Linked DNA regions of Anolis sagrei. The protein of the gene in region 1 purifies or fractionates together with the protein of each later gene. This does not show direct contact. Links are inferred from orthologs where the notes say so. Each region holds a gene or a part of one and is shown on either strand. Other genes may lie near its edges.

What was found.
Region 2: the proteins of ING4 (region 1) and JADE3 purify together in Homo sapiens (affinity purification with mass spectrometry; 3 studies listed by BioGRID and IntAct, with this or other methods). This does not show direct contact. The link is inferred for Anolis sagrei from reciprocal best matches to the Homo sapiens genes ING4 and JADE3.
Region 3: the proteins of ING4 (region 1) and BRD1 purify together in Homo sapiens (affinity purification with mass spectrometry; 5 studies listed by BioGRID and IntAct, with this or other methods). This does not show direct contact. The link is inferred for Anolis sagrei from reciprocal best matches to the Homo sapiens genes ING4 and BRD1.
Region 4: the proteins of ING4 (region 1) and KAT7 purify together in Homo sapiens (affinity purification with western blotting; 6 studies listed by BioGRID and IntAct, with this or other methods). This does not show direct contact. The link is inferred for Anolis sagrei from reciprocal best matches to the Homo sapiens genes ING4 and KAT7.

Annotation. Positions count from the first base shown.
Region 1 is NC_090022.1:197,488,134-197,496,050, forward strand, and holds the start of ING4 (inhibitor of growth protein 4), read right to left. Parts: upstream 3,003-7,917; 5' UTR 2,951-3,002; coding exon 2,914-2,950; intron 1-2,913. Other genes in the region: transcription factor HES-2-like, read right to left, coding at 6,766-7,052.
Region 2 is NC_090023.1:99,696,394-99,703,531, reverse strand, and holds the start of JADE3 (protein Jade-3), read left to right. Parts: upstream 1-4,117; 5' UTR 4,118-4,354; intron 4,355-4,830; exon of another isoform or gene 4,831-4,855; intron 4,856-7,138. UniProt on the Homo sapiens protein: Scaffold subunit of some HBO1 complexes, which have a histone H4 acetyltransferase activity.
Region 3 is NC_090025.1:122,939,541-122,947,112, reverse strand, and holds the start of BRD1 (bromodomain-containing protein 1), read left to right. Parts: upstream 1-4,551; 5' UTR 4,552-5,008; intron 5,009-7,572. UniProt on the Homo sapiens protein: Scaffold subunit of various histone acetyltransferase (HAT) complexes, such as the MOZ/MORF and HBO1 complexes, that acts as a regulator of hematopoiesis.
Region 4 is NC_090026.1:31,669,679-31,677,288, reverse strand, and holds the start of KAT7 (histone acetyltransferase KAT7), read left to right. Parts: upstream 1-4,589; 5' UTR 4,590-4,638; coding exon 4,639-4,668; intron 4,669-7,610. UniProt on the Homo sapiens protein: Catalytic subunit of histone acetyltransferase HBO1 complexes, which specifically mediate acetylation of histone H3 at 'Lys-14' (H3K14ac), thereby regulating various processes, such as gene transcription, protein ubiquitination, immune regulation, stem cell pluripotent and self-renewal maintenance and embryonic development.

The sequences.
Region 1 (7,917 bases):
GAACCATCACACATACTTTGTTATAGAATGACCAACATCAATTCTGAATTGACTGAACAGCCACTGGGACGTTAAGACCATATACATTCAAAAAGCTTAGTGATAAAAGCACCAAAGATCTACTCCACACAATGAATGTTGGCAAACCCAGATTTTCTCACTGTACACATATTCTGCAAGAGAGTTCTCGGATGTCTGACTACCAAGCTTATACATGTATGCTTGCCTCAATCACATTTTCTATTACACTATGTAAGAAAATGTAACACTATGTACATTTTGTTACACTATGTAACAAAATGTTATTCCCTGTTTAATTGTATGGTACTTACTTTGAAAGTAGTTGTCTACTCCAGAAACATTGTTTTTGTGGCTGCCACAAACTAGTTTGAATTGAGACTCAATGAGATATTCAATGAAAAACAATAGCAAAATGTGCTTCAGGATGTCCCTCCAAATCGGTTTTTGCAGTTTAATAACCTTTCCCCATGTTTTAATGATACCAAGCTTATAAATGTATGCTTGCCTCAATCATATTTTCTATTACACTATGTAAGAAAATGTTATTCCCTGTTTAAATGTTTTAATGATAGAAACAATTAAATAAATGTCTGAAATGACTGAACCCAGGAACAAAAATCGTGTTACATTGTGTTATTTGGATGTACACTCACTGCATATGACATTGATGCACACCTTTCAAATGCAACTGAAAAGGCAACACACTAGTGTTTTGTTTCTAAATATAATGAACACGAACAGGCCTATCCAGCCAATGTTCTCATTCATATATATATATATATATATATATAAATAATTCAAAAGACAAAATTTAAAATATAGTAACCAACAAAATAATCAAGAAGAATATATTAAAACTGTATCTGCATCAAGAAAGTACATCGTAGTACGGAGTTTTCTCAATATATAATTAAGGTCAACAAGTAAAGTCAACAAAGATACAATCATTATATATGCTTGATAACACAAAAATGATAGCTGTTATAATAAAGAAGCACTTAATTTCGTTTAAAACTTTCCCCATCTAAAGTATACTGCACTTATAGTTCTAATACCATGTTTCAAATTATTTTAATATTTTAAGCTTTTTTTCACCCATATCTCTTTCCCTTTTCTCTGTGTCACCTTCACCTGGACTAACTTATCTTACTCTTTACCATCATCCATGGTTCATCCTACCCCAAACCACACCAGGGTGTAAAGTGGGACATGAGGGAGGAGTCTGTGTGCCAAGTTTGGTCCAGGTCTGTTATTCGTGGGGGTCGCAGTGGTCTGTGGAAGTGAGATCTAAAGTAAGTTTTTTTTCTGTGTCAGGCGCAACTTGAGAAACTGCGAATTGCTTCTGGTGTGAGAGAATTGGCCGTCTGCAAGGACGTTGCCCAGGGGATGCCCGGATGTGAGAGGCTTCTCTCATGTCCCTGGATGAGAAGTTGGAGCTGACAGCCAGGAGCTCAACCCACTCCCTGGATTCGAACCATCGACCTTTCAATCAGCAATCCTCCTGGCACAAGGGTTTAACCCATTCTGCCACCAGGGCCTAATGCTAATCAAGGTGGCCACTTGAAACATTCACACTTGCCTCAAGCAGACAAGGGTTCTTTTCCCACCCTGGAAATTCCACAGATATATAAACCCCACTTGCCTAGTTTCCAACAGACCTGGAACCTCTAAGGATGCCTGCCATAGAGGTGGGTGAAACATTAGGAGAGAATGCTTCTGGAACATGGCCATAGAGCCTGGAAAATTCACAGCAACCCAGTGATTCCGGCCATGAAAGCCTTCAACAACACAAATTTATCTGAATTTAAGCTATTCAGCCAAAAATGGAAAAGAACAGCACAGGATCATATATTTTGACAAATTGTAGATTTGTGCAAAGATGAAAGAAGTGGATTGATGACAAATTGGACAAAGGAATAAATGAAACTACTACTATTAATACTGCTGTAATGTTCTGTCATCTCTCAGTTAGAAGTAAACAAAAGTATGGAGCTGTGGAAGAAGCAATAATTTTGTAAAAGCTTAACCATTTAAAATAATGTTCATTTCATTATCAAGCAATTACTCATTGAAGTCCTTCTTTTGGCCACAAGATGATTTGAAGGGGAAAATAATAGGAGGGAAAGAATGGGTGTGATGCAACATTATAATTTTATTCGCTGGAAATGTACACTTAAATACATTGCACGGTTTAATAAAACCTAACAACTGAGGCGCTCTCCACATAGCCGAATAAAACCCCACGTTTTCTGTTTTGAATTGGAATATCTGGCAGTGTGGACTCAGATAACCCAGTTCAAAGCAGATATTTTGGGTGACATGGCTGTGTGGAAGGACCCTAAGTTACCTAAGGCCCCTTCCACAAAGCTGAATAAAATCCCACATCATCTGCTTTGAACTGGAATATATGGCAGTGTGGACTCAAGAAACCCAGTTCAAAGAAGATATTGTGGGATTTTCCGCCTTGATATTTTGGCTGTGTGGAAGGGCCCTAAGTTATCTAAGTCTCTTCCACACAGCTGAATAAAACTCCACATTATCTTCTTTGAACTGGAATATCTGGCAGTGTGGACTCTGATAACCCAGTTCAAAGCAGATATTGTGGGATGTTCTGCCTTGATATTCTGGGTGATGGGGCTGTGTGGAAGGGCCCTTAAACGTAGGCATGGGCGTAACGCAGGGGTCCTGGCAGACCAAGGCTGTCAATTGGCCACAGCGCTTCATTCAGGGGCCCTTTGGGTCAGGCTCGCATGTGGGTAACACGCATAACGTGTGAATGATGAACGAGGCGCGCCCCCTCCTCTTCCTCCTCCTCCCGAGGCGGCCTTTGGCTTCCAGGGCTCCTCCGCCGCCTGGCCCTCGGCCCTCCTCCCGCTCCGTTCCCGCGCTTACTGTCGAGGTAGTGCTCCAGGTACATCCCCGCCGCCATCTTGGGTTTCGGCCAAGCGCCCAAACTCCTCCCGCTTCCCGCCCTAACGTCATTTCCGCCCTCAATCAGGCCGACTTCCGGAAGGGGCTTCGGCTCACTTCCGCCCGGTTTGGGCTTTGCTCCTGAGTGGTAAGCAGAACTGAACCTGAAGACCTGGCTGGGCAAAAGGGAGGCGGGGAAGGCCAACGTTTTCTTCTTTCCCTGATTAGTACAATCGGGTTATTATTATTATTATTATTATTATTAAAGTGGATACATACCTTAAAGAAAACATTTCTGAAAAACATTTCAGAAAAGGGACTTTGCAGACATTGGGCCCTTCCACACAGCTGCATAAAATCCACACTGACCTGGATTATATGGCAGTGTGGACTCAGATAACCCAGTTCAAGGAGCCACCAGTGTTGCAATGGGTACCAGCAGGACTGAAGACCGACAGGTCACAGATTCAAATCTGGGGAGAGTACAGATGAGCTCCCTCTGTCAGCTCCAGCTCCCCGTGTGGGGATATGAGAGAAGCCTCCCACAAGGATGATACAACATCAAAAACATCCTGGCATCCGCTGGGCAACACTCTTGCAGACGACCAATTCTCTCACACCAGAAGCAACTTGATGTTTCTCAATTTGCTCCTGACACGTATATACCCAGTTCAAAGCAGATAATGTGGATTATTCTGCCTTGATAATCTGGGTATATATAGTTGATGGCTGAAAGCGAGGAGGAGCTGAGAAGCCTTCTAATCAAGGTGGAAGAAGAAAGCACAAAAGCTGGGTTGCAGTTAAACATAAAAAAAAACCAAGATTATAGCAATCGGACTGATTGATAACTGTCAAATAGAGGGAGAAAACGTGGAGGCTGTGACAGACTTTGTATTTCTAGGTGCAAAGATGACTGCAGATGCAGACAGCAGCCAGGAAATCAGAAGACATTTACTTCTTGGGAGGAGAGCAATGACCAATCTCGATAAAATAGCAAAGAGTAGAGACATCACAATGGCAAGCAAGATCCGCATAGTTAAAGCAATGGTATTCCCCATAGTCACCTACGGATGTGAGAGCTGGACCATAAGGAAGACAGAATGAAGATTTATGCTTTTGAACTGTGGTGTTGGAGGAAAGTGCTGAGAGTGCCTTGAACCGCGAGAAGATCTAACCAGTCCATCCTCCAGGAAATAAAGCCCGACTGCTCATTGGAGGGAAGGATATTAGAGGCAAAGATGAAGTACTTTGGCCACATAATGCGAAGACAGGAAAGCTTGGAGAAGACAATTATGCTGGGGAAAATGGAAGGAAATAGGAAGAGGGGCCGACCAAGGGCAAGATGGATGGATGGCATCCTTGAAGTGACTGGATTGACCCTGAAGAGCTGGAGGTGGTGACAGCCAACAGAAAGCTCTGGCGTGGGTTGGTCCATGAGGTCACGAAGAGTCGGAAGCAACTGAACGAATATACAACAACATAGATTTGTGGAAGGGCCCTGGGTTATCTGAGGACCCTTCCACACAGCCCTATATCCCAGAATATCAAGGCAGAAAATCCCACAATATCTGCTTTGAACCGGGTTATCTGAGTCCACACTCAGATAATGTGGGATTTTCTACCTTGATATTCTGGGATATAGGGCTGTGTGGAAGGGCCCTTGGAGAACATGAGACATCCCAGCAGACTGGAGGAGAGCAAATGTTGTCCCTCTCTTCAAAGGGAAAAAGGATGACCCAAACAGTTACCACCCAGTCAGGCTGACATTAATACCAGGAAAGATTCTGGAGCAGATCATTAAGGAGACAGTCTGCAATCACTTAGAAAGGAATGCTGTGATTTCTAAATGTCAACACGGATTTCGGAAAAACAAGTCGTGCCATACTAATGTTATCTTTTTTTTTTTGGATAGAATTACAAGCTTGGTAGATGCAGGGAATGGTGTGGGGGCAGCATATCATGATTTCAGTAAGGCCTCTGACAAAGTCCCCCATGACCTTCTCGCATGCAAGCTAAGCAAGTGTGGGCTAGGCAATGCTACTATTAAAATGTAATTGCTTAAGCAATTGGACCCAAAGGGTATTAACTAACAGTTCCTCTTCATCTTGTGCCATAAACAAAAGTTTTTGTAGGTCGAACCATTAGAAAACAAAGGTATTGTTGAAGGCTTTCATGGCCAGAATCACTGGGCTGTTGTAGGTTTTTTGGGCTATATGGCCATGTTCTAGATGCATTCTTTCCTGACATTTCGCCTGCATGTATGCCAGACATCCTCAGAGGTTGTGAGATCTGTTGGGAACTAGGAAAATTGGGTTTATATATCTGTGGAAAGTCTAGGGTGGGAGAAAAAACCCTTGTTTGTTGGAGCTAGCATTTGGTTAGCATTTGATGACCTGACAGTTTTTTAAGTGTGGATTGTTAGTGCCTGGGGGAGTCCTTTGTTGAGAAGTGATTAGCTGTCTCTGATTGTTTCGTGTCTGGAGTTCCCCTGTGTTTGAGTATTGTTCTTTATTTAATGTTATAATTTTATAGTTTTTTTTAATACTGGTAGCCAAATTTTGTTCATTTTCATGGTTTCCTCCTTTCTGTTGAAATTGTCCACATGCTTGTAGATTTCAATGGCTTCTCTGTGGAGCCTGACATGGTGGTTGTTAGAGTGTTTCAGCATTTCTGTGTTCTCAAATTATATGTTATGTTCAGGTTGGTTCATCAGGTGCTCTGCCATGGCAACCAGAAAAGTCAGCCATAGCAGAGCACCACAGATATATAAACCCAATTTTCCTAGTTTCCAACAGACTTCACAACCTCTGAGGATGCCTGCCACAGATGCAGCCAAAACGTCAGGAGAGAATGCTTCTGGAACATGGCCATAGAGCCCGAAAAACCTACAACAACTGAGAAAACAAAGGTGTTGCTATCTCGGTTACCCATGTGAATAATTGTGGATTCTGAGAGAATTTTTGAATTGTGGATATGGGATGCTCAACCTGTTTTAAACACTACAAGTTACTAGATGATCCTTTACACACAATTTCTTCATTTTTGTAATGTAAAACATATGAAAAACATTAAATGGGGAAACTTTTCAAAACAACAATTCAAATCAATATGGAATTTATATTAATGGCAATTACAGGGAATAAAAACATTGCTGCGAAGAACCAAGACCTATTTAAACCAATGGTCTTAGCAGGAAAGGCGGTAATAGCCTGGGTATGGAGAAATGAAAAAAATGGAATATGGAAAATTGGAATAACTATTTATTTGAGAAAGTCCAATCAGATATTATTGCATGTATAACCCAAGAAGGTTCACGGGAGGACAAAACAGAAGAAATTAAAGAGAAACGGGCAACATATATGAAATGGGTAGAAGAAGGGGAAGCCACTGATATTGTACTAAGATTAAAAAGGTTGTTTTCGTGGTTAAAAATAAAGATATAGAGAGAAAAGTGGTGGGAAGGGTAAGGAAGGGTAGTGGGAGGAGAGGGAGAAAAAATACAAAATGTAATACGAATAAATCTGTAAAGAATGTGAAAAGATAATATAGAAATATCTTATATTGTAAGCCTATAATAGACATTTATTATCTGTTCAAATATGTTATTTGTTTTCAATAAAAATCAGTATAAAATAGCAACACATGAAGAAACACAGAAAAACATACTTGTGTGCAGACAAGTAATGGTGCTTAAGACATGAGACAAGAACAAGACGTACATGCTTTCTCTAACATTGTTTTCCAAATACCAAATAAATTAGAGACTATAGTCCTGGCAGGATACTATTTACATTTTTTCCTTCAGTCATGGGCTTTCAAAAATATATACAAGACTCAGGTAGACCAGGGTCTCCAGAATCCTTGAGACCCAGTTTTGCTTAGAACCACGGAGGAAGCTGATTTTCCAGGACACTGGAGGCTGCGGAAAGGCTCCTTCTCTTCATTCCAGCTTGAGATATTTTCTAGGCCAGAGACTTGAGAAGTAGATACCAGTGAGAAGGTCTCATTACTGGAAATGGGTTGACTGGGAGGTTCTAGGTATGCCTGTCTTTCTGAGATGGTTGCTTGAGCAAAGGAGGCACAATGCAAGCATCCACTCTGGAAGCCCCTGTCATCTGCCACTGTGAAAAGAAAGAACAAACAAAATCAAAGAGTTGTTGACCGAAAGGTCACAGGTTCAAATCCGGGGAGTGGTATAAGCTTCCGGGGAGTGGTATAAGCTGTCAGCCTTAGCTTCTGCCAACCTAGCAATTCGAAAACATGCAAATGTGAGTAGATCAATAGGTACTGCTCCGGCAGGAAGGTAATGTGCTCCATGCAGTCAATTTGGCTAAATGACCTTGGAGGTGTCTACAGACAACACTGACTCTGGCTTAGAAATGGAGATGAGCACCAACCCCCAGAGTTGGACACGACTGGACAACATTCCTATGTTAATGTCAGGGGAAAACCTTTACCTTTACCTAACCTAAGATGATACACCTTTAGAAGTAAGAACACATGAATTTTACCAGGATTAAGCAAATCAAAGCTATTGAATTAGATGTGGTTTCCACCTGCTCTTCAAAGTCCAACAAATCTATTTGCATGTATATTTTTGTCTTATGAAACCTTAAGTCTGCACTCACACTACCAGTATGAACCCCATACAGATAATTGTAGCTTGGCCACTATAGTTCAGAAGATTTAAGCATTCACATAGTTTTTGGGCAGTGGTTCTCAACCTGTGGATCCCCAGGTGTTTTGGCCTACAACCCCCAGAAATCCTAGCCAGTTCACCAGCTGTTAGGATTTCTGGGAGTTGAAGGCAAAAACATCTGGGGACCCACAGGTTGAGAACGACTGTTTTAGGTTTTTTTCCAGAGCTATACCCAGAAAGAGTATTCAGGTGTACCATTTCATCTGGGCTGGATCTGTTCTCTGTTCAGTTTCTTCAAAGGCATGAAACAGAGGAGAGAGCAGCTCCACTGTGTCAGCTGATGCAGG
Region 2 (7,138 bases), on another chromosome or scaffold:
TTTTTTAACTGGATGGCTATGAATTGCGCATAGAGTATAACTCCCCTATATGTGACAGATACATTCCAATACATCCTTGTGGATATCTGAAGTCATGAATAATAGAAAAACCTGTATTTTAACTATACCATAATATTGCACAGGCCTCCAGTGGCACAGTGGGTTTAGACCACTGAGCTGCTGAACTTGCTGATCAAAAGGTCGCAGGGAGCGATGTGAGCTCCCACTGTTAGGCCCAGCTTCTGCCAACCTAGCAGTTCGAAAACATGTCAATGTGAGTAGATCGATAGGTACCGCTTCGGTAGGAGATAATGGCACCCCATGCAGTCATGCCAGCCACATAACCTTTGAGGTGTCTATGAACAGCGCCAGCCCTTTGGCTTAGAAAATGGAGATGAACACCAACCCCCAGAGTCGGACACAACTGGACTTAACGTCAGGGGAAAACCTTTACCTTTTCATAGAATTGCACTAGAGGACCTAGTGAGACAAAAATCCATTTTGTGGTGTGAATATTTTTTGGAGCAATAATGAGGTTCTCATGTCTGCAGTGGTTTTCATGTGCATTTTACTTATTTGCGTTTAAATAACTGCTTAAGGATATATCTGTATGGAGATAAAATGTGCTGAACTCAACTTGCATATTTATTAATTCTCAAGTCACATGGGCTTCTAGTTGAACTCTTATATTTTTAGCACAACTAAGTAGGACATCGTTCATTGTCAAGTCGATTTTAACTTATGGCAACACTATGAATAAGAGACCTCCAAGACACCCTGTAAGTAAGAACCCTTCTCAAGTCTTACAAGGGCAGTGGTTTCCTTGAACCAATCATTTTTAAACTCATTTTCACTTTTAGTGATAGATCCCGCTTGACTTGCTCTAAAGTCCACTCATTTGTTTTGTCTTAATTTAGAACTTAGTGTTGCTAAGACCAATCTCCTTGTCATGTGACTGACAAATACAGTCAGGTCTCCATATCCACAGATTTTGTATCCACAGATCCAGCCATCCATGGCTTGAATTTACTAAAAATATCCGAAAAGAAAATCTTTATTTTTCTGTTTTATATCAGTGACACCATTTTACTACATCATTGTATTTAAGGAGACTTGAGCATCTACAGATTTTGGTATCCATGGGGAATCCTGGAACCAAACACTAGCAGATACCAAGGGCCCATTGTATATAATTTCTGCATAACACCTACACCATATTTATAGCCCCTAGATCACTCCCTCTTCCCTCAAGTTCTTGCCAGTGGCTAGTACTTTGTGTACTTTTAGTAGTTTGAGTAAAGGTGGGCCTCAGACTCTATAGGAAAAATACCTTCCGACCAATCTTCTGCTTGAGCAACTACCTGTACACTATGCCCCGTCCCCTGTCATACTAACTGCTTTTTGGGAGTTCATTTTGAGTTTTGTTTGCAATAAGAGAGTTCCCCATAATTTTTCTTCCATTCAGAGTTACTGTACTTGCATATGTACACAATACCCCACAGGCATATTTTGTGGTGCATGACTGTGACCTATGCATCGATAAAATCTTTGCTTTGGTTAAGCGAACAAGCAGTTGGTCTTTGACCTAGCCAACTATCTGTGGAGGAATGCAGTTTATTTAAAAACAAAAAAAGGAGAAGCACACTTAACTAACCGCATTGTTAGGTTTTGGTTTCTATGATAGTAGCAGGCCTGGGATTTCTGGATAGTTGGGTTTCAAAACCAGTGGGAATATAACCTCACTTTCTGAGCCGTGCAATAAAACAGCAGCCAGGCTTATGTCTAAGAAAGCGAAGGTTACTAATTTCCTTTTTTCAGTCCCAAAGGTGCTACAAGATCTCTTTCTATCCTGTAAAACTCTGGCCCAGACCAACATGGCTAGATCTCTGAATTCAGAATGCTCCAGCTCAAACAAGAGATTCATCTACATCAGTGTTTCTCAATCTATGGGTCTCCAGATGTTTTAGCCTTCAACTCCCAGAAATCCCAACAACTGGCTAGGATTTCTGGGAGTTGAAGGCCAAAACACCTGGGGACCTACAGGTTGAAAACCACTGATCTACATTGTAGAATCATTGCAGTTTGAGCCCACTTAAACTGCTGTGGCTCAATGCTGTGGCATCCTGGGATTTGTAGTTTGGTGTGGCACTATCACTCTGGCAGAGAAGGCTGAAGGTGTTGTAAAACTACAAAGACCCTGATTCCATTGCATTGAAGGTGGCAAAGACAATTACAGTGGTGTCAGACTGCATGACTTCCACATTGTGGATTCACCCAAGGTCTTCTTGAGGGTAAAACTCCCAACATATTATGCGGATCTATTGGTAAGGATAAAGGTTTCCCCTTGACATTAAGTCTAGTCATGTCCAACCCTGTGGGGTGGTGTTCATCTCCATTTCTACGCCGAAGAGCCGGCATTGTCCGCAGACACCTCCAAGGTCATGTGGCCAGAATGACTGCATGGAGTGCTGATACCTTCCTGCCTGAGTGGTACCTATTGATCTACTCAACAGTTTTCGAACTGTTAGGTTGGCAGAAACTGGGGCTAACAGCGGGAGCTCACCCCGCTAACCAGATTCGAACCACTATCCTTTTGGCCAGAAAGTTGAGCAGCTCAGCGGTTTAACCCAGTACACAACCAGGGGATCTATACAGTACAATGAACCACTTGGTACTGGCCTGGCACACTGCTATGAAATCATAGGAATATGGCTGTTTGTGGAAACAAGGATCCAGGGAAGTCATGCTTCCTCACTATTCTGCCTTGGTTAGACCACACCTGGAATATTGTGTCCAATTCTGGGCACCACAATTGAAGAGCAATATTGACAAGCTGGAATGTGTCCCGAGGAGGGCGACTAAAATGATCAAGGGTCTGGAGAACAAGCCCTATGATGAGTGGCTTAAAGAGCTGGGCATGTTTAGCCATGTATAAATATGTGCGAAGAAGTCTTAAGGAGGAGGGAACAAGCTTGTTTTCAACTGCCCTGGAGACTAGGATGTGGAACAATGGCTTCAAACTAAAGGAAAGGAGATTCCACCTGAACATTAACTTCCTGTGAGAGCGGTTCAGCAGTGGAACTTTCTGCCCCGGAGTGTGGTGGAGGTTCCTTCTTTAGAGGCTTTTAAACAGAGGCTGGATAGCTATCTGTTGGGGGTGCTTTGAAGGTGATTTCCCTGCTTCTTGGTAGGGGGTTGGACTGGATGGCCCATGAGGTCTCTTCCAACTCTGATTCTATGATATGGCATTCAGCAGTTGTTATCTGCTCACCCACAGAACACCATATTTAATAAGCCTTGGCACCATAAGAGGGTTTTGTGCGACCAGTCGCTCTTGTTGCAACAGAGTACTAACAGTAAGGGTTTTATTGTGTTGCTGTGGTTTTAAACTGTTTTTATGTTTTAATTTGTATTTTGATATTATGTATACTGATTAGTGGTAAATTGCCTTGAGTCGCTGATAGACTAAGAAGGGCGGTATAGAAATACAGTAAGTAAATAAATAAGGCCGCAGACCATAGTTTAGTTCTTGCTGACCTCTGTTGGTCCATGGAGCACAGATTGGGAACCACTGTGTAGATCAGGCATGGCCAAATGTGGGCCCTCTGGGTGTTTGGGACTTGAACTCCCAGAATTCCTAACATATGCTTTGGATAGCATAGGAAAAGGCGAATACCCCATGTGGGGTATGGTTTGCTGGCTGTGCCCCTGTCCAGAAGATTCCACCTCACTTTCTGTCCCTGTGGAGATTGGATTTTGAGAAATGTGGCTGGTTGTGGGAAGCAGGAGTGGAGAGGGCGCTTCAGCAGAGGGCAACGGAGGCCTCGGAGGGGATCCTTCGATCCTTCCTTCCTTCCTTCCTTCCTTCCTTCCTCCCTCCCTCCCTCCCTCCCTCCTTCCCCTCCCTTCCCTTCCCCTCCCCTCCCCTCCCTTCCCTTCCCTTCCCTTCCCTTCCCTTCCCTTCCCTTCCCTTCCCTTCCCTTCCCTCCTTTCCTTCCCTCCCTCCCCTGCGTGCCTGCTCTTAAGGAGGCCCCGGTGGGCGACAGCGGGCCAAGGCGAGGCGGGGGCAAGCAGCAGGTGCCAAAGCCGGGCGAAAGGGAAGCGCCAACAGGGAGGGAGAGAGAGAGAGAGAAGGGAAGGAAGGGGAAGAGGAGGAGCCTCCGAGGCGAAGGCGGCAGGAGCAGCGCTAGCAGCAGCAGCACCAGAAGCGGCGGCAATAGTACAATAGGGCTCTTGTGCGCTGCCGGCCTCCTCCTCGGCCTCCCCCTCCTCGGCGGTGGCGGCACGAGCGTGAGCCCGCCGGGCTGGTAGCGGGGGAGACGGACCGGCCGCCCCTCCAGCCCGGAGCCACAAGGTAAGCGAACGCCTCGCGTCCTGGGGGAGAGCCAGGGCTGTGGCCAGGCCCGCCAGCCGAGGCCCAGCCGAAAAGGCGAGAGCGGGCGGCTTTGTGGCTGAAGGGAGCGCCCCAGCGGCCTATCCTATCCCCAGGAACTGTTTTCCCGGGTGACTGATTTAGACTCCATCTCCCAGAATCCCTCACCATCGGGTAAGGCAGCCGAGGCTTCTGGGAGTTGGAGTCCAAAACACCTGGCGAGTGCCTAGGCCCTGCTCTGGTCCGAGTTGCCAGCCCCGCGACCGCGCGCCGGGCTCTTCTGCGCATGCGCCGAGGTCCCGAAGGTGGCCGGACGGGCGGAAAGCGGGCCTGGGAGCGAGGCGGGGGCGGGGCCTGCGCCGCCCGTCCTGGGCTGCCGTTGGCCGCCGGGAGCCACGTGACGGGGTGCCCCCCTCCAGCCATGTGGCTTCTCCTGGACTGGGAGCCCCCGTTGGCCTGCCTTTCTTCCCGCTTGGCGGCCGGGTGAGCGCGAGGAGGGGTCAAGGCCTTTGTTCTTCAAAGTTTCCCTCCCGTTTCCTTTATTTCAAGGGCCCCGCTCCCTTGGGTGACTTAAGCTTTGGATGAACCTGTGTTGTTGTCCCAATAAGACCACAGTCGCCTTCATACACAGAGGTGGAGTGTTTATTATTATACATATCTAGGCATTTTTGGAAAGAGGAACTGGAGTGTTGTCGAAGGCTTTCATGGCCGGAATCACTGGGTTGCTGTAAGTTTTCTGGGCTGTGGGGCCATGTTCCAGAAGCATTCTCTCCTGACATCTTTGGCAGGCAGCCTCAGAGGTTGTGAGCTCTGTTGGAAACTAGGCAAGTGAGGTTTATATATCTGGAATGTCCAAAGTGGGAGAAAGAACTCTTGTCTGCTTGAGGCAAGTGTGAATGTTGCAATTGGCCACCTTGATTAGCATTGAATGGCTTTGCAGCTTCAAAGCCGGGCTGGTTGCTGCCTGGGGGTTGATTCCAGACAAGATTCAATCAGGGCCAGCTAACACCTCCCAACAAAGGGTCCCCAGGCAGCAACCGGCCAGGCCTTGAAGCTGCAAGGCTATTCAGTGCTAATCAAGGTAATCAATTGCAGCATTCACACTTGCCTCAAACAGATAATAGTTCAGTGAAAACTCACAGCGACCAAGAAACTGGAGTGTCATTCAGGGTGATCTTCCAGGGGATGCTGGACTGTGGCTCCACCTGGAAGTAAGGGGCAAAAATACTTGGATGAGGTGTTTTACATACCCTACATGCTCATGTATAAGGCCAAACATTTTAATCAGAAAAACAATACCAAAATGACTTATCCATGGGTCAATGTGAGTACAGTATTGTACTTTAACCCATCTCAAAAGAAAGGAGCCGTCCCTTTCTTAAAGAAGAAAGGTCCATTCTGTGAGAAACTTAAGGCTTCTTCTACACTACCATATAAAATCCAGATTATCTGCTTTGAACTGAATTATATGGCAGTGAAGATTCATATAATCATGTGGATTATCTGCTTTGATAATCTTGCAGGGTTGAAAGGGCCTAAAAGAAACACTAGCACTTTCAGCAATCTCTGCTGTGGCACCATTTCTGGCCCTCTTGGATGGAGAAATCAATTTATTTGCCCTGTACACTCAAGTATAAGTCTAGAAATTTTGGTAAAAAAACAACAACCCCCAGAACCCCCCTCGGGGGTTGAGAAGGGCGGGGTAGAAGTGACCTAAATAAATAAATAAATAAATAAATAAATAAACCTGGACCAGCTTCTCCATGGGTCAGTATAAGTACTGTGCTGTAACTCTTATCAAAAAAGGAACCATTCCCTCCTCTATGTAAAGCAGTGTGAAGTGAGATGAGTCCATCCTGGGATAACCTCAAAGAAGCACCGACCCTCTTTACGTTCTTCTGTCCTTTTTGGGTGCTTGGCTGGGGGCGGCAGGCCCTCTTAGGTGGCATTGGCACTTGCCCCTCTCTGTGGAATGACCCTCAACTTACCCACAGGTCAATGTAAGTACTGTGCCTTAACTTGCTGAAACAAACCACCTCATTCTCTGAGCAGAGGGCCAAAAGGCAAGAGCTGAGTCAGTCCTGGAAGAACCTAAAAGACAGTTCTGAGCAGAGGAATGGCGATGGGCAGCTGGGCCCCTGAGTCAGCACTGGGTCTTTCTCCCTTCACAGAATGAGTATCAATTTATCCATGAGTCATATTGCCCCCAGTATCGCAATGGGTGAGTACTGCTCACTGAAAGGTCAGCGGTTTGAATCCGGGGAGTGGGGTGAGCTCCCGTCTGTCAACTCCAGATTCTCATGCAGGGACATGAGAGAAGTCTCCCACAGGATAGTAAAACATTTGGGCGTCCCTTAGGCAATGTCCTCGCAGATGGGCAATTCTCTCACACCGGAAGAGACTTGCCGTTTCTCAACCAGAATTTTGGTCCCCAAACCAGCTCTCAATTGATACATGAGGTCAACTTATACATGAGTACAATTGACAGAAAGACTAGTGTCCTCAGTACCAGTAGAGCATAGTGAAAGATGGGTTATATTCCAGTATCTGGAGAGCTGTACCTTTTTTCTTCTTCTGTGTGGACACATATATAGGATACCAGCACTTAGCACACAGAGGCCTGCTTTCAGACTACTATCCTGTGCCTTTTTGTCAGGGATTAGGCCACACTGAACATTGCGGAACTTGGTCCAAGCAAGCACACATAGTGAAGGCAACCGTTTCTTATTGACAAATACTAACAGATTTATTTTTCTAGAAACACAG
Region 3 (7,572 bases), on another chromosome or scaffold:
TGCCTGTATAACCCAGGTAAAATACAACTCTCATTTACTTGTATGCAAAAACATCTCAATCATACAAATGTCTTGGTATATGAAGGAGTGTTGTCTGCTTCATAACTGAAAGGTGAGCACATGAGTGGGGCAATGAATCAAGGATGTGACAGGAGAGCAAGAAAAGTGAGAGGGCAACTATTATATGCTAGTTTTGCCTTCCAGGATCCTTAAGTCTGTGCTATTTCCAGTTGTAATAACAATTTTATGAAGTACTTGCAACAATTCTTGCACAACCCGTGGCCACTACATCCTAAAAATTGAAGGCTCCATATCTGGATGGATACACACACAACCCTACCATATTATGTTCTAGGATCACCATAAGTCAGAAACTATTTGAAGGGAAAAACCAACACCAGTGATAATGCCTTGTTGACATACAATATTAGCTAGATGTATCTAAAGACGGCCGACAGGGAGCTCTGGCGTGGGCTGGTCCATGAGGTCACGAAGAGTCGGAGACGACTGAATGAATGAACAACAACAACAACATCTAAAGATATATCTGGAGCCCCTGGTGGTGTAGCGGGTTAAACTGCTGAGCTACTAAATTTGTGATTCGAATCCGGGGAGCGGGGTTTGCTCCCGCTATCAGGCCCAACGTTTGCCAACCTAACAGTTCAAAAACATGCAAATGTGAGATCAGTAGGTACCGCTCCGGCAGGAAGGTAACGGCGTTCCATGCATTCATGCAGGCTACATGACCTTGGAGGCATCTACAGACAATGCCGACTCTTCAGGTTAGAAATGGAGATGAGCACCACCCCCCAGAGTTGGACACGACTAGACTTAGTGTCAAGGGGAAACCTTTACCTTTCTCTAAAGTTCATCAATGCTAATTAAAATGCAATTTAGGTGTATTTTCATACTTTAAACTTTTACATTTTCTTTTTCTTTCTTTATTTTGGAATGTATTTGAACAGTATTTTTGAAAGATCTTGATTAAAAAGAAATTGATATTGATAGAATGCTAAAACCACTGGAATGCGAACGTGACCATTTCACTGGGGGTCTAGGGGCTTTTAACTTTACCCAGAAGCACCAGTTAGCCTGGCTAAAATAAAGAACTGTGGAAGTTAATAAAGCTAAAACACCTGGAAGGCCACAGATTTTCAACACCTGAGATGCAAACTGATCAGATCATTATCTTGATACCCTTTGGCAGCTACTGTGATGAGTGCTTTCAAGTCATTTTTTTCATGCAGTTGTGCGATGTCAGTGGAACCAATTGGGTATGCTCAATGTAATTTCTTCCATTATTATGTTTATTTATATCCTGCTTTTTCTCTCCATAAGGACATTCAAAGCAGCTTGCATTAAAAAAAATAAATTTAAAATATACAAATATTAAAACAGTATTAAATATATTTAGTATTTAAAAGATTAAAGTAATCCAACTGGATTGATTGGAAACAGCCACCTAATATTTGTGTATATAGCATTGTAGTTGCATACCCACATTGTGCTTATGAGTCCCTGCGTTTTCTAAGTTGTGTTTGTCACCCTAAGTTCTTTGCAGATTGTTGCCATTGGACTGCCGAACTGATACACTACTGGCCATAAATGAACATCGGTACATACAAATCTTAAATGATATCCAGATGTCACCTTTAATGCTGCAAAGCAGGTGTTTATAAATATATCAGACAGTAAAATAAAAATTATAATAGGTCAAGAAATTGGTTAGTTTCGTAACTCATTAACAAAACTTAAACTGTGTTGTATTATTTTCACATCACCCCTCTCCTAAACCCATTTCAAGGTTATCACCATATGTTTTCTATCTATCCACACACATACATATGTACATATATACACACACACAATATCTGAGAATCTCCTACATCCCTCTGCTGCCTTTGATTTTATGATTTATGTTCTGATAGTGTTAGGCTAATGAAAGGCTTCTGCTCTTAGGGCACCCCATAACTGTCAGAAAGGGTTTTGAGATGACAGGTGCATCTCCAGTAAAGAATTACTGCAATCCAACACCACTTCAACTGCTATGCTTAGCCCTATGCAACTGAAGGGGTTGTAGTTATAGAAGGGCTTTAGCCTTCTCTGCCAAATAGTGCTGGTGTCTCACCAGACTCCAGGTCCCAGAATTCCACAGTTCCACCACCAATACCCAACACTTGAAAGGAAATCATACTTGGCCACAAGTGATAGCCTATGATGATGTCAATCTGCATTAATTCTACAGTGATGTCCCCTTAGCCCAGTGTTTCTCATCCTTTCTTCTGGCACTATCTCTCGTTTCAGTTTGAATTGTCCAATCATAGAGTTTTCATGGTAAAATTTATTTATTTATGACATTTATATGCTGCCCTTCTCACCCTGAAGGGGACTCAGAGCGGCTTACAAGTCATAAATAACCTTTAAAGTCCTAAAAGTTTCTGGCCCAGAGTACCTGTCCGAACGTATCTCCTGCCACGAACCATCACAAAGTTTAAGATCTTAAGGAGCGGCCCTGCTCTCCATCCCACTATCGCAAACACGGTTGATGGGGACGAGAGACAGGGCCTTCTCAGCAGTGGCCCCCTGCCTATGGAGCACCCTCCCTAGAGATATCAGATTGGCCACCTCCCTCTTGTCTTTTAGAAGGAAAATCAAGACCTGGTTATGGGACCAAGCATTTGAGCAATGAGCAGCAAGTGGAAGATCACAAACTTATGGCAATGCATTGACCCGGACCGGTTTTTGGATTTCCATTTTAATGGATGTGTCTTAATTAATTGTTTTATTTTTTAATATTTTGATTGTACTGTGGTTTTTATTATGCTTTTGTTAGGCTGCTCTGAGTCCTCCTTCGGGGGGGGGGGGGGGAAGGGCAGGGTATAAATATAGGAAATAAATAAATATGGACATACAACACACAATATTGGCATACAGAGGTGGCCCTAGGTAATTTTCAATAGTAAGCAAACAGTATTCTTCCCCCCGCCCCCCCAACCAATCACTGATATATACTTTCTGTTCGTCATGGGAGTTCTGTGTGCCATATTTGGTTCAGTTCTCTCATTGGTGGAGTTCAGAATGCTCTTTGATTGTAGGTGAACTATACATCCCAGTAACTACAACTCGCATATGTCAATGTCTATTTTCTCTCAAGAACGCCTCAAGAGCACACCTGGGCAAAATCAACTATACTGCAAATGCTTACTTTGTGTAATGGGTTGAGCCGCTCCTGTTAGCATAGTACTAATACATCATTCATAATATTAGTATTATATAATATTACATTGTTGCTGGAGGAGGGGCTCTGATGTCACAGAGGGAGTCTTCCCAGCTATATGTCAGTGGTTCTCAACCTGCGGGTGCCCAGATGTTTTGGCCTTCAACTCTCAGAAATCCTAACACCTGGCTGGGATTTCTGGGAGTTGTAGGCTGAAACACCTGGGCATCCACAGGCTGAGAACCACTGGATTAGTCTCACCATTTCTAATTTTAGTTCTTGTCTACTACCTCAGTTTCCCCCCCCCCCCACCTTATCTTACACAGGGGTCCTCAAAGTAAGGCCCGGGGGCCAGATGCGGCCCCCCAAGGTCATTTACCCGGCCTTCGCTCAGGGTCAACCTAAGTCTGAAATGACTTGAAAGCACACAACAATAACAACAGTCCTATCTCATCAGCCAAAAGTAGACTCACACTTCCCACTGAAATACTAATAATTTTATATTTGTTGAAATTGTTCATCATTTTAATTGTTGTATTTTTAAGTGTTTTTTGCACTACAAATAAGATATGTGCAGTGTGCATAGGAATTCATTCATTTTTTCTTTCAAATTATAATCCAGCCCTCCAACAGTTTGAGGGACTGTGGCCTGGTCCTCTGTTTAAAAAGTTTGTGGACCCCTGATCTTACATGTACATGGATAGGCAATATGTGGCAATGCGTAACTGCAGCTTTTCGTAATGACTGCTTTCTCAAGCAGACACGACAGCCCTCCACCCTGATCTCAAAGGAAGCCTACAATTACCCTTTCCCAAACTGGTAATTTGGTTTCACGACTGCGTTCCAGATGGAGAAGACTCGGGATCCAGTGCCTAGTTTCCGGGGGGGTAAATTTGCTGACATTGTGGGGCACATTGCTAAGAAAACGGGAGCGCAGTGCACTCCTTTGCCTCAGGATCCCAGGGTGGAATGGTGGACCCTTGAGTTCCATGGAACTCCGAACGCCCACGAGCGAGAACTATGAAACGTTCCTTTCACTCTCCCAGGAAGGCGATGTGGAAGGCGCTGTTTCCGAGCCGGTGTTTTGAAAGCCTTCAAATGGTAGCGTAAGACTCTCCTTTTTGTTTGTCCCAACTGTCTGAGAAAAAGTCGAGTCCCTCCTCCTCGGGCCAGAAGCAAACAAAACTCTCCGAACTTGACCGGCAGCTTATTACAGCCGGCGGGGAGGCGGGTCCGCGGAGAAGCGTCCCGGGCGGGGATTGGCTGGCGGGCGGGTTACGAAAGCGTGTGGGCGTGTCCTGTGGGGAGCCCGCGCTGGCGCCGCCCACAGAACGCGCGGAGGGAGTCCTGGCCAGGCGCTCGTGCTCGTCGCCGGGGCTGGGAGGTGCCTGCCTGCCTGCCTGCCTGCTGCTGCCGCCTCCGCTCCCGCCCCTCCCCCGCTCCCTCCCTCCCTGCTTCCCTCCCACCCCTCCCCCGCCGGCGCGAGCGCTGTGCTGAGGCCGCCGCATTGTTTGTGCCGAGGGGGGAGGAAGAGGAGGAGGAGGACGGGGAGGGAAGTGGCTCGGCCTCGGGAAGGAGCCTCCGCAGCCGGACTGCGGCCCTTCGCGACGCGCTCTGCCGAATGCGCGGACCCAGCAACCGCCACCTCCGCCGGGAGCGGTCTCTCTCGCCGCCGCCGCCTCCTCTCCCTCCCCGAACTCGGCAGTAGCAGCGCCGCCGCCGCCGCCATTAGTCTTCGCACGAAAGGAGGAGGAGGAGGGCCTGTCAGCCGCGTCGCTGCGGCTCCCTCAGGTGAGCACAGGAGGCTCGGAGGCGGCGAGAGCGCCGAGGCAGCTCTGGTGTTGGGCGGGCGCCATGTTTAGGCCCGCGTATTATTGTCCCGGGCGGGGAAGGCGAGGGCGAGAGGGAGGAAGAAGGAAGGGAAGGCAGGCAGGCCGCCCTCCTCCTCCTCCTGGCTGAGGGGAGAGCCAGCCAGCGAGCGAGCGGCTGGGCCTGGCGCGGAAGGAACCATTCTGCGGGGGGAGGGGTGCGCTGGGCCTGGGCAGGAACCATTGGTGTGCGTGGGCGGGGCCTGGCAGGGGGCGGGGTCAGGAGCCCTCCAGCAACTGGGGCTGTGTCGCGCGGGGCGGGGCCAGGCCCCTCTCCCCAGGGCGAGACCATTCTGCCAAAGGGGGGTGTTGGGAAGGGATCCCCGCAGTTTGGGCTGCTACTGTCCTTTTCACGTATTTTAACTTCAATGTCGTGCCCCCCCTTTCCCTTCATGTTTATTTCTCGACTTCTGGGTTATCTCAGCTCTCTTCCTGGATTCATTCCGGTCTGATGACGTCAGGGAGGGCGGGGTCATTTCTGGGTTGTTCACTTTCACTTTTTAAGTGGAATGAAACTTTCTTTCCCCTCCCCTCCTGCCCTTTAAGCTACTGTTTCACTTAGGTGTATGGCAGTGGTTGTCAGTGTTTTTGCCTACAACTCACAGAAATCCCAGTCAGTCTACCAGCTGTTAGGATTTCTGGGAGCTGAAGGTCAATTATTTTTTTTATTATTATTATTAACTTTATTTGTACCCCGCTAGCATGACTCGATGCAGCTTACAAAGGCCAAGGTCAAAACATCTGGGTTCCCACAGGTTGAGAACCACTGGTGTATGAAGAGTTTTTTTATTTACCAAACTTTTTTTAGGTTTCATTTTCTTGAGTTCCCTAATCCAGAGATTTCCAAGCATTTCATCTTGCTGGCACACTTTTGAGACATGCATGGTTTCATGACCCAGTGATTCTCCCTTACAATCTGCCCCACTCACTTAGGTCCTCTTGGAGGCAGTTCCTCCAACTAGCCAAAACCCGACTGGCAACCACCACCTAGAGGACCTTTTCATCTGCTGCTCCATGACTGTAGAATGACCTGCCCGTAGAGCTCTCAACAGGTGGATCAGCTGTCAGAATTTAAGATAAAAGTGAAGACCTATCTCTTCCGACAGGCCTATTCAGACAGTTTTAATAGTGAATTTTAATTTCCACTGTATGCCTTGGTTTTGTTTTGTACATTAACAAAATATATGGCAGCATGACGTGTCTCATGAAAACCTTTTATTTACTTTAAAAAAATAAATGATTTGTGAGATAATATACAATTACAACATTTCTGTTATTTCTTGTTCACACCAACGCACTGCAGCAGTGTGAACAAGAAATAACATTTCATTTCATTTTTGTAAGCCCCTGTTTATTAGTGGAATTTGCAAAGTACTTTCTTTGTTTGCTGTGAGAGAAATGAAGTAAGATGGTGACAAATGTATCTGACTCATGTTATATGCTCATGGGAAGCACAAAAGCTGTAGATCTTATTCTGTCAGAAGCCTGGCAACATTAGGCATCTCAGAAGGTGTGAAATCTTCGGGCCGATGCATAAAATTTACATTTTCAAGAAGCCTTGGATACATGGCTTGCACATCAGGAAAGATTTCATTCTCACTATTAGAGCAGGAACTCAACTCTTCAACCAGATTTTCATACAACTGTTATGTTAATTTTATGATAGAAGATGATACAGATGAAGCTACTTTTTTCAGTAATGATGCTGAATATGTGATTCATGGTAACATGCAATTCATGTTACCTTTTTTTGTATTACCTCTGTTACAACTGTTCTTATACATGTACTTACTTCTTCATTTGTCAAGCATTGTTTATTTGGGGCAGAAGATTTTGGAATGAATGAACAATTGCCAATTATGATGTCACTTCAGTTAATAATATGTATGACAGCCTGGCTTGTTTGAGGAAGTGTTGTTGTAAAATGAGGACAATAATGACTGTCCTTAGAAAGTTGTCATGGGAGCAGACTGTGACTAAAGCTGCAGTACCATGTTGCACACATCTGGAAATAAATCCCATTGAACTCAGTTCTGACATATGCCAGTGGTTGTCATCCTGTGGGTCCCCAGATGTTTTGACCTTCAACTCCCAGAAATCCTAACAGCTGGTAAATTGGCTTGGATTTCTGGGAGTTGTAGGCCAAACTACCTAAGGACCCACAGGTTGAGAACCCTTGCATTATGTTATAGGACACCTATCTTGTACTGTACTTAAGTTCTTCACTTTTAGTGTAGTTACTGATATATAAATGCATGTATGTTATACTTTTTATTTCTGATGTTACTATTTTAAAAAGTAGTGTCTAATTTCTAAGTTGGTTCTTTGAACTTGGTCAGAGAGCCAGTAAAACACCACTCTTGTCTAACCATATTGATTTATATGCAGATTCAAATAGAGACACTCTTCCATCTCTTCCATTTGAAACATAGAAACATAGAGTTGGAACAGACCACAAGGGCCATCCAGTCCAACCCTTAGCCATGC
Region 4 (7,610 bases), on another chromosome or scaffold:
CAAATTTGGACACAAGACAATTAACAACCCAATGTATGTCCTTCACTCAAAAAAACATATGATTTTGCCATTTGGGAGTTGTAGTTGCTGGGATTTATAGTTCACCTACAATCACAGAGCATTCTGAACCCCACAACAATAGAATTGAACCAAACTTGGCACACAATTCTCCCATGACCAAAAGAAAATACTGGAAGGATTTGGTGGCAGTGTCCTTTGGTTTTGGAGTTGTAGTTCACCTACATCCAAAGATCACCGTGGACTCAAACAATGATGGATCTGGACCAAGCTGTACAAGAATACTCAATATGCCAAAATGTGAACACTGGTGGAGTTTGGGGGAAATAGAATCTTGACATTTGGGAGTTGTAGTTGCTGGGATTTATAGTTCACCTACAGTGAAAGAGCATTCTGAACCCCACCGATAGAATTGGGCCTAATCTCCCACACAGAACCCCCATGTGGGCCACAGCAACATAAATAATAATAATAATAATAATAATAATAGAGAAATGTATATAGCTACAACCCAGTTTGCCCAAACCAAAAATGGATGCTCCTATTATGAGGAACAGAGGCTGGTTCCCAAAACAAAGATGGCGGATTCAGCACCGCTCTGAATTCAAACTCCCGATGCAACTGTGGTCAGTTTAGACTTTTGGGTAAGAACCAAGCTCTGCCCGGCTCAAAGATGGCCGCCCCTGTTCTTTCGACCCGAGGCCCTGCCCGGCTCAAAAATGGCCGCCGCTCCACGCGCGGAAGACGTCATTCCCCATTCCAAGATGGCGGGCGGCCGTCGGCGTGAGGTGAGGTTTGTCTGCGTCACGTGACGGGCAGGACGGGGGTGTGTATCTCCCCGCCGAGTGTCCCGGCGGAAGAGTGGAGGGAGTCGGCTGAAAGGTCGCCGCTGGGGGGAATCAGGCACCAGAGGGCGGCGCGGCCTGGCGCTGGGGGACCGGAGGCACGCCAGTCACGACGGACACCGCCGGAGCCAACGCGGCGGCCGGGGCGCAGCCACCCTCGCTGCCTCCGCCGCCGCCTCCGCCCAGGATGTCTCGCCGAAAGGTAAGCGGCGCCAGAAGGAGCCAAGCCCCTCCGCTCGCCTTCTCCTTCGCCCGCTTAGACCGCCAGGCTCGAAAACCAGTTAAAAACGTAGGCCTTCAAGCCCCTGCTTCAGCTCGCGGCGTGATTGGCTCCCTCTGCCTCCCGCCGCCACTTGAATGGCCGCCCTCGCCATCAGTTAGGGCAAGCCCCGCCTTCGACGGTTATTTGTTTCCCTCCTCCCTTTGGGTGGTTGTTGTGTCCCGCCTCCTTCCCGCCCTGATAGGCTCCGTTGCCGTCCTCTCATTGGTTGGCCTCCCTATCACTTCCTACTGGCGCGGTTTTCTTCTCCCCGCCTCCTTCCTCGCTTCAGACTTGGCTGTATGTGTTGAGGAAAGGCGCTGATTGGCTGCTCTGAATTAGCCTTCCCTTGCTCCTCATTGGATGGCAGGCAGCCGAACGCCCACCTCCTTGATGTTGTGATTGGCGGAGGAAGAAAATGCCTGAGATGGTTCAAAACAGAGCAAGCAAGATGGCCCAGGCAGGGTTGCAGAACAGGAATCAGTTTTGATTAAATATGGTTATACTCTTACATTTTTTTCTCATCATGGAACCATTTTAACTGCAGGATAAACCTGCAAAGGTATCATTTCCTTTTGATCAATCTAGTTAAGGCCTCTTCTACACAAACTCCACATTGAACTGGATTATATGGCAGTGTGGACTTGGGCCCTTCCAGACAGGCCCAGGATCCCAGCATCTGATCCCAGGTTTTATGTTTATCCCAGATTATCAGGCAGTGCGGACTCATATAGTCCAGTTTAAAGCAGAAAACCTGGGTTCAGATCCTGGGATACAGGGCCTGTCTGGAAGGGCGCTTCCACACAGCCATATAACCAAGACTATCAAGGCAGAAAATCTCACAATATCTGTTGTGAACTGTGTTCTGCCATATATTTCAGTTCAAAGCCAATATTGTGCGATTTTCTGCCTTGATATTCTAGGTTATATGGTTGTGTGGAAGGACCCTTAGATAACCCAGTCCAATGCCAATATTGTGGATTATCTGCCATGATATTCTGGGTTTTAATTATTTATTTATTTCTATCCCGCCTTTCTCCCAATTGGTACTCAAAGTGGCAAACAAACATGTAATGAAAAACATTGCAGAGCATAAAATTATGCATAATCATCACACCACAAACATATCTAATAAGAGGTTGTTGTAGGTTTTTCAGGCTATATGGCCATGTTCTAGAAGCATTCTTTCCTGACGTTTCGCCTGCATCTGTGGCAGGCATCCTCAGAGGATCCCTGCTATAGATGCAGGCAAAACGTCAGGAGAGAATGCTTCTAGAACATCGTCCTGTAGCCCGAAAAATCTACAACAACCCAGTGATTCCAGCCATGAAAGCCTTTGACAATACATATCTAATAAATTATAAAACTGGTGATGACATAATAAATAGATAACACAATTTAAACATTCAATAAAGTTAAAAGATTACACGGCTGTGGGAAAGAGCCCTTAGAGATTTCCATTTCAAGTGGTTAGATTCATTTTAGTTTCATACATAGTTTCATACAGCAAAAGATCCTCTGATACATTGAAACTGATATAATTTTGTTAACTTGTTATTGTGTCATTTCCACTCCAAGGTGACTCCAGTACAGGGGCTTTTTGGCGAAATTTGTCCAGGTGTGATTAGCCATTGCCTTCCCTTGAGACTGAGAGAAATTTAAGATGGATTTTAATATAAAACCACACAAGGCATATTTCCCAGACATCAGCTGAGACATTGAGTGCACGAAAGACTCATTTGTCAATTGGAATAAACATCACATGTTGTCTGTGCCAGCGTATGAAGATCTTATTGAAATTCATTGTCGCTATAGGTGATCCCTCGTGGCCAGGTATGGTCTTGGTGGTGGGCCTGTTAGTGACTAGAGACCTATTCTAGATCCACATGGGCTTTCGAGGAGACATATTTCCAAATGGAAAGCAGTCCCGACAAGGTTTTGCATGACACACCTTCCCTTTGACTCCTTTTTTCCTTTCGTCCTCTATTCATGCTTCTTTGAAAGCTACAGCACTGTTGGTAAGCTGACATCCAGTGAGAGCACTCAAGTGCCATGGAGTGTTTATTCCACGTATTTTAAAGATTAGCTTTAAGCCCATCTTTAAATCTCTTTTGCTGTCAATCAACATTCCCTTTTCCATTGTTGAGCTGAGAGTAAAGTAACTGCTTTGGGAGATGGTGATCAGACATTTGGACAACACAGCTGCTTCAGCGAAGTTGATGGTGTAGGATCATCTCTTCCGTACTGATGGTCTTTGTTTCCAGAATGCTGACATTTGTCCACCTGTCCAAAGACATTTTTGAAGGCAACGCTGATGGAATTGTGCTAGAAGTTGAGAGTAACATTTGTAGACATTCCATGTATCACATGTGTACAACAGAGTTGGAAGTATAAAGGCTTTATAAACAAGCATCTTGGTATCCTTATGAATGCCCTTATCCTCAACAGGGCTTCATTTGAAAAAATGCTGCACTCACAAAGCTCGAATGGTGTATTTTGGCATCAATGTCAACTTTTGTGGAGAGATGGCTAAATTCAGTGTACCTCAGCTTTTTGAATCTGTACCACTGAATGACTTTTGGGTAGGACTAGTAGCCAGAAAGACCATCCAAGCTCTGCTCCCCTTTGTGTCCACCTGTCGATGTGAATTAGGTTTTCCAGTGTATATTTACATCAAAAACAAATACAGAAGTAAGTTGGATTCCACCCCAGATCTTCAAATTTATCTGTTGGACATAAAGACCAGTTTCAGAACTATTCTTAGTACAAAAATTAAACACTCTAATTCATGAAATAATCCAATATTTTCTTGGTTGAAATAAAGGTTTGTGGTTATATTTAAAGTATTTCCAAAGTAAAGTATTTAAAGTATTTTGGTATTATCCAAAAAACTTTGTGGGTTCACAAGCTAAAAATCAAGGATAGAATTAGGGTACCATGGAGGGTGGGGATAGGAATGCCTTCTGAATGGTTCCATGGCAGAAGATGTTTGGAAACTTCTGCTGTAATCCAAAACTGCCAGATATTCTTTTGGAGATTATAATTTCAGACTCCTAGTTCATATACATAGCTCCTACTGGAATAAATAGAATAATTTTCTTAACTAGCTTGATTGAGCGGTAGTATTTGTTTTTCAATTATAAAGTGATGAATCAAGAGTCACAGCACATTTGTACTCTGCTGCTATGTATTGAGTATACAGACATCGTTGGAAAATATTCTAAACATTTGTATCTTTCAGTTCTTCAAGTGCATCTTTTAAGTATGTACGAGGGTTGAATGAAATGTAATGCCTCTACCTTCGTAACTCCTCAACAGATGGCAGGTACTGGCTTGTTCAGTAGACTCTCCTCTACAGTTCCGTTTTGGTGGGAAGCCTTAGCATTGAACGGTTGTGTTGTTAATGTGCGAAGTATGGAACCCTGCGAAGATGGTTGATCAATGCAACTTAAGCAACATGCAGTTATTGAATTCTTGACAACAGAAGGTGTCACCCCAAAGGAGATTCATCAGAGAATGCAAGCTGTCTATGGTGATTGTGTTGATGTGAGTACTGTGCGTCATTGGGCGAGTAAGTTTAAAGATGTTGAGGTGGGAACATCTGGCTTGCGTGATAAACAAAGAGTTGGACATCCTGTGACAGCAACCACCGAGTTTCACAAGCAAAAGGTTGACAGATTGATTCAGGACGATTGTCATATCACTCAGAGAGAAATTTCAAGCATCATCAGCATTTCACGAGAACATGTGTGTCACATTATTGCTTTGCTTGGCTATCAGAAGATCTGTGCACGATGGGTACCCAGGTTGAGAGAACTGTGAGACGCTGGTTGCGGAAACAGAGAGTTGACGTCTTCTGTGATGGCTTCAGAAAACTTGTTTATCGTTGGCAGAAGTGTATCCAATTGTCTGGTGATTATGTGGAAAAGTGAATAGTGGTAGTTAAAGAGCACATTCTAAGGATTATTTCTGCGTTCGATTTATTAAAATATTCCCTTCCAAACCCAAGTAACAAAGCTGGAGGCATTACTTTTCATTCAATCCTCATATTTATCTTACTAATGATTTGCTTTTACATGTGCTGAGGCTTGTCAAATCTATATCTGCTTAGTGTTAACATTGCTGCAAGAGTAAATTCTCCCAGACTACTCCTCTTTAACTCTTTGGAGTCCCCTTAGCGTTCTCTTCCTTCCCTGGCACCTGTTACCCAATTTGTGTCACGACACAAAACACAATTGTAAACGTTATCTAATTGAATAATTTAAGATGCTTATGATCACAGTTCTTCTTCAGGTGCATCAACACTGTAGAATTGATGCAGATTGGTACCACTTTTAACTGTCATGGCTCAATTCTATGGAATTGTGGGAGTTGTCGTTTTTATAAGGAAAATCAAGACCTGTTTATGGGACCAAGCATTTGATCAGTGAGCAGCAAGTGGAAGAAGATCACACAACTTATGGCAATGAATTGACCTGGACTGGTTTTTAAATTTCGATTTTAATGGATGTGTCTTAATTAATTGTTTTGATTGTTGTTTTGATTTTTAATATTTTGATTGTATTGTGGTTGTTTTTATGATGCTAGCATCATATGATGCTTTTGTTAGGCCACCCTGAGTCCTCTTTCGGGGAGAAAAGGGCGGGGTATAAACATAGGAAAAAAATAAATATAATAAATAAATAGTCTAGTCTTGTCTGCCAAAGAGTATTAGTGCTCCAGCAAACTACAAATTCTATGATTCTGTAGCATTGGGCCATGGCAGTTAAAGTGGTGTCAAACACATTAATTCTACAGTGTTTCCTATATTGATTATTAAATCAACAGTGACAACTGTCCCCAAAGAAGTTGTTTCAGGTTTCTGAACCTGAACCGCTGTGAGTCGCCTTCGGGTTTGAGATACAGCAGTATATAAGCAAAGTAAATAAATAATAAATAAAATAAACTAGACTGCATGACATATAGGTTAAGCTGTTTGCTGTGTGTCTGTGAAGACCATTTTAAATGCTAGCTGTATTTGAACTTGAGTGGCGAAGGGACCACTGTGATGATCACATGGCTGTCATTGTGTTAATCCTACCTCAAATCCCACATTTGCTCTTAACGTATTATTGCTCCCAGGATTCCCACTGGAACCACTTCCTCTGTGTTTGAAAATAAGGCTGGGTTGTTTTTGCACGTACACTCTGAGACCTGACCAACAATAAAGAAAAACGTTACAGCTTTTGCACAGAGGCATATCAAACAACACAAAATATTAGAATGCCATAAAGCTCAATAAGAGTTTTACCCACATATCGCTTTACCCACATAGAGGACATTAAATCAGCAACAACGACAAGTGACACTATGTTCAGACGCGTCTTTGTATGTACCTTTTCATAATCAAAATCTGTAATAATCTGTAATAATGTATCAGTGAAATAGAATGGGAAGATTGGGGGTGATTCATTCACTAAGAATAGATGATCTTATGGCACTTAATTATCCCACATGTATTCAAATAGTCACATCTTGCAGTTGTTGTTTAATTGAGAGTTTAGCATTGGTAAAACCAAGACTTCTTATACATGACTAAGAAAACCCTAGAATAGCCACTAAACAATACAAAACTTTTCTGTGAGGTAAGTGGCACCTCACTGGTGCAATCAGCATATATACATATGCATATATGAGAGAGAGAGAGGACGACACTTTTTACCTCCAGGGCACAAACATATGTGACTGCAGTTTCCCTTTATTTTAATATACCATTAATCTGTTAACTGTACAGCACTGTCTACCCTCACACACTCTTTTGTTGTCTTTTTGGAACTTGATTCTTTTTTCTCTCTGACTTCTGAATCCTGACCCTGTTGTTCTCTTTTCCTTGCACATCATTCTAACAACACCTCCTACTCACACTCTGTTAGCTTTTCATCATCCATATACAAATGACACTCCACATTCTTGATTTAGTCTTCAGGCATATACTTTGAATCATACTTATCATCTAATATCACAATATGTGTGCAGTGGATTATTGAAAATTGCATTATAATCTATGTAACGTTAGCAAGGTCTCAACCCTGTTTGTGTGGGTGGCTATGAAACAGGCTAATGCTTAGAAATGTTGTCTTCCTAAGAAACAGTGTTGCGCATAGTTCCTTGCATAGAGAGCTGATGATCATTTGGTGCAACATGATGAAACAACTTTCTGGATTGTTTGGATTTACCAGTAAGTTCTCAGAACTCCAGTCACCATGATCAGTGTAGGAATTGTGAGGACTAAAACTGAAAACAGCAAGAGTTTGTCAGTGGTTTCTGATTGACTATATGAAAAAATAAGTTTAAGACCATTGCCTTGAGATCTGACTTCCAATTCACATCAGACTGATGGTGGAGGATTATGGGAGTCTTTAAATACCTGCAAACCTTAGTTACTTCCCTGTGCATTGAGGCATGGAGATATCTTCCTTATAAGCGTTGACTTGGGGAATATGTGAGAT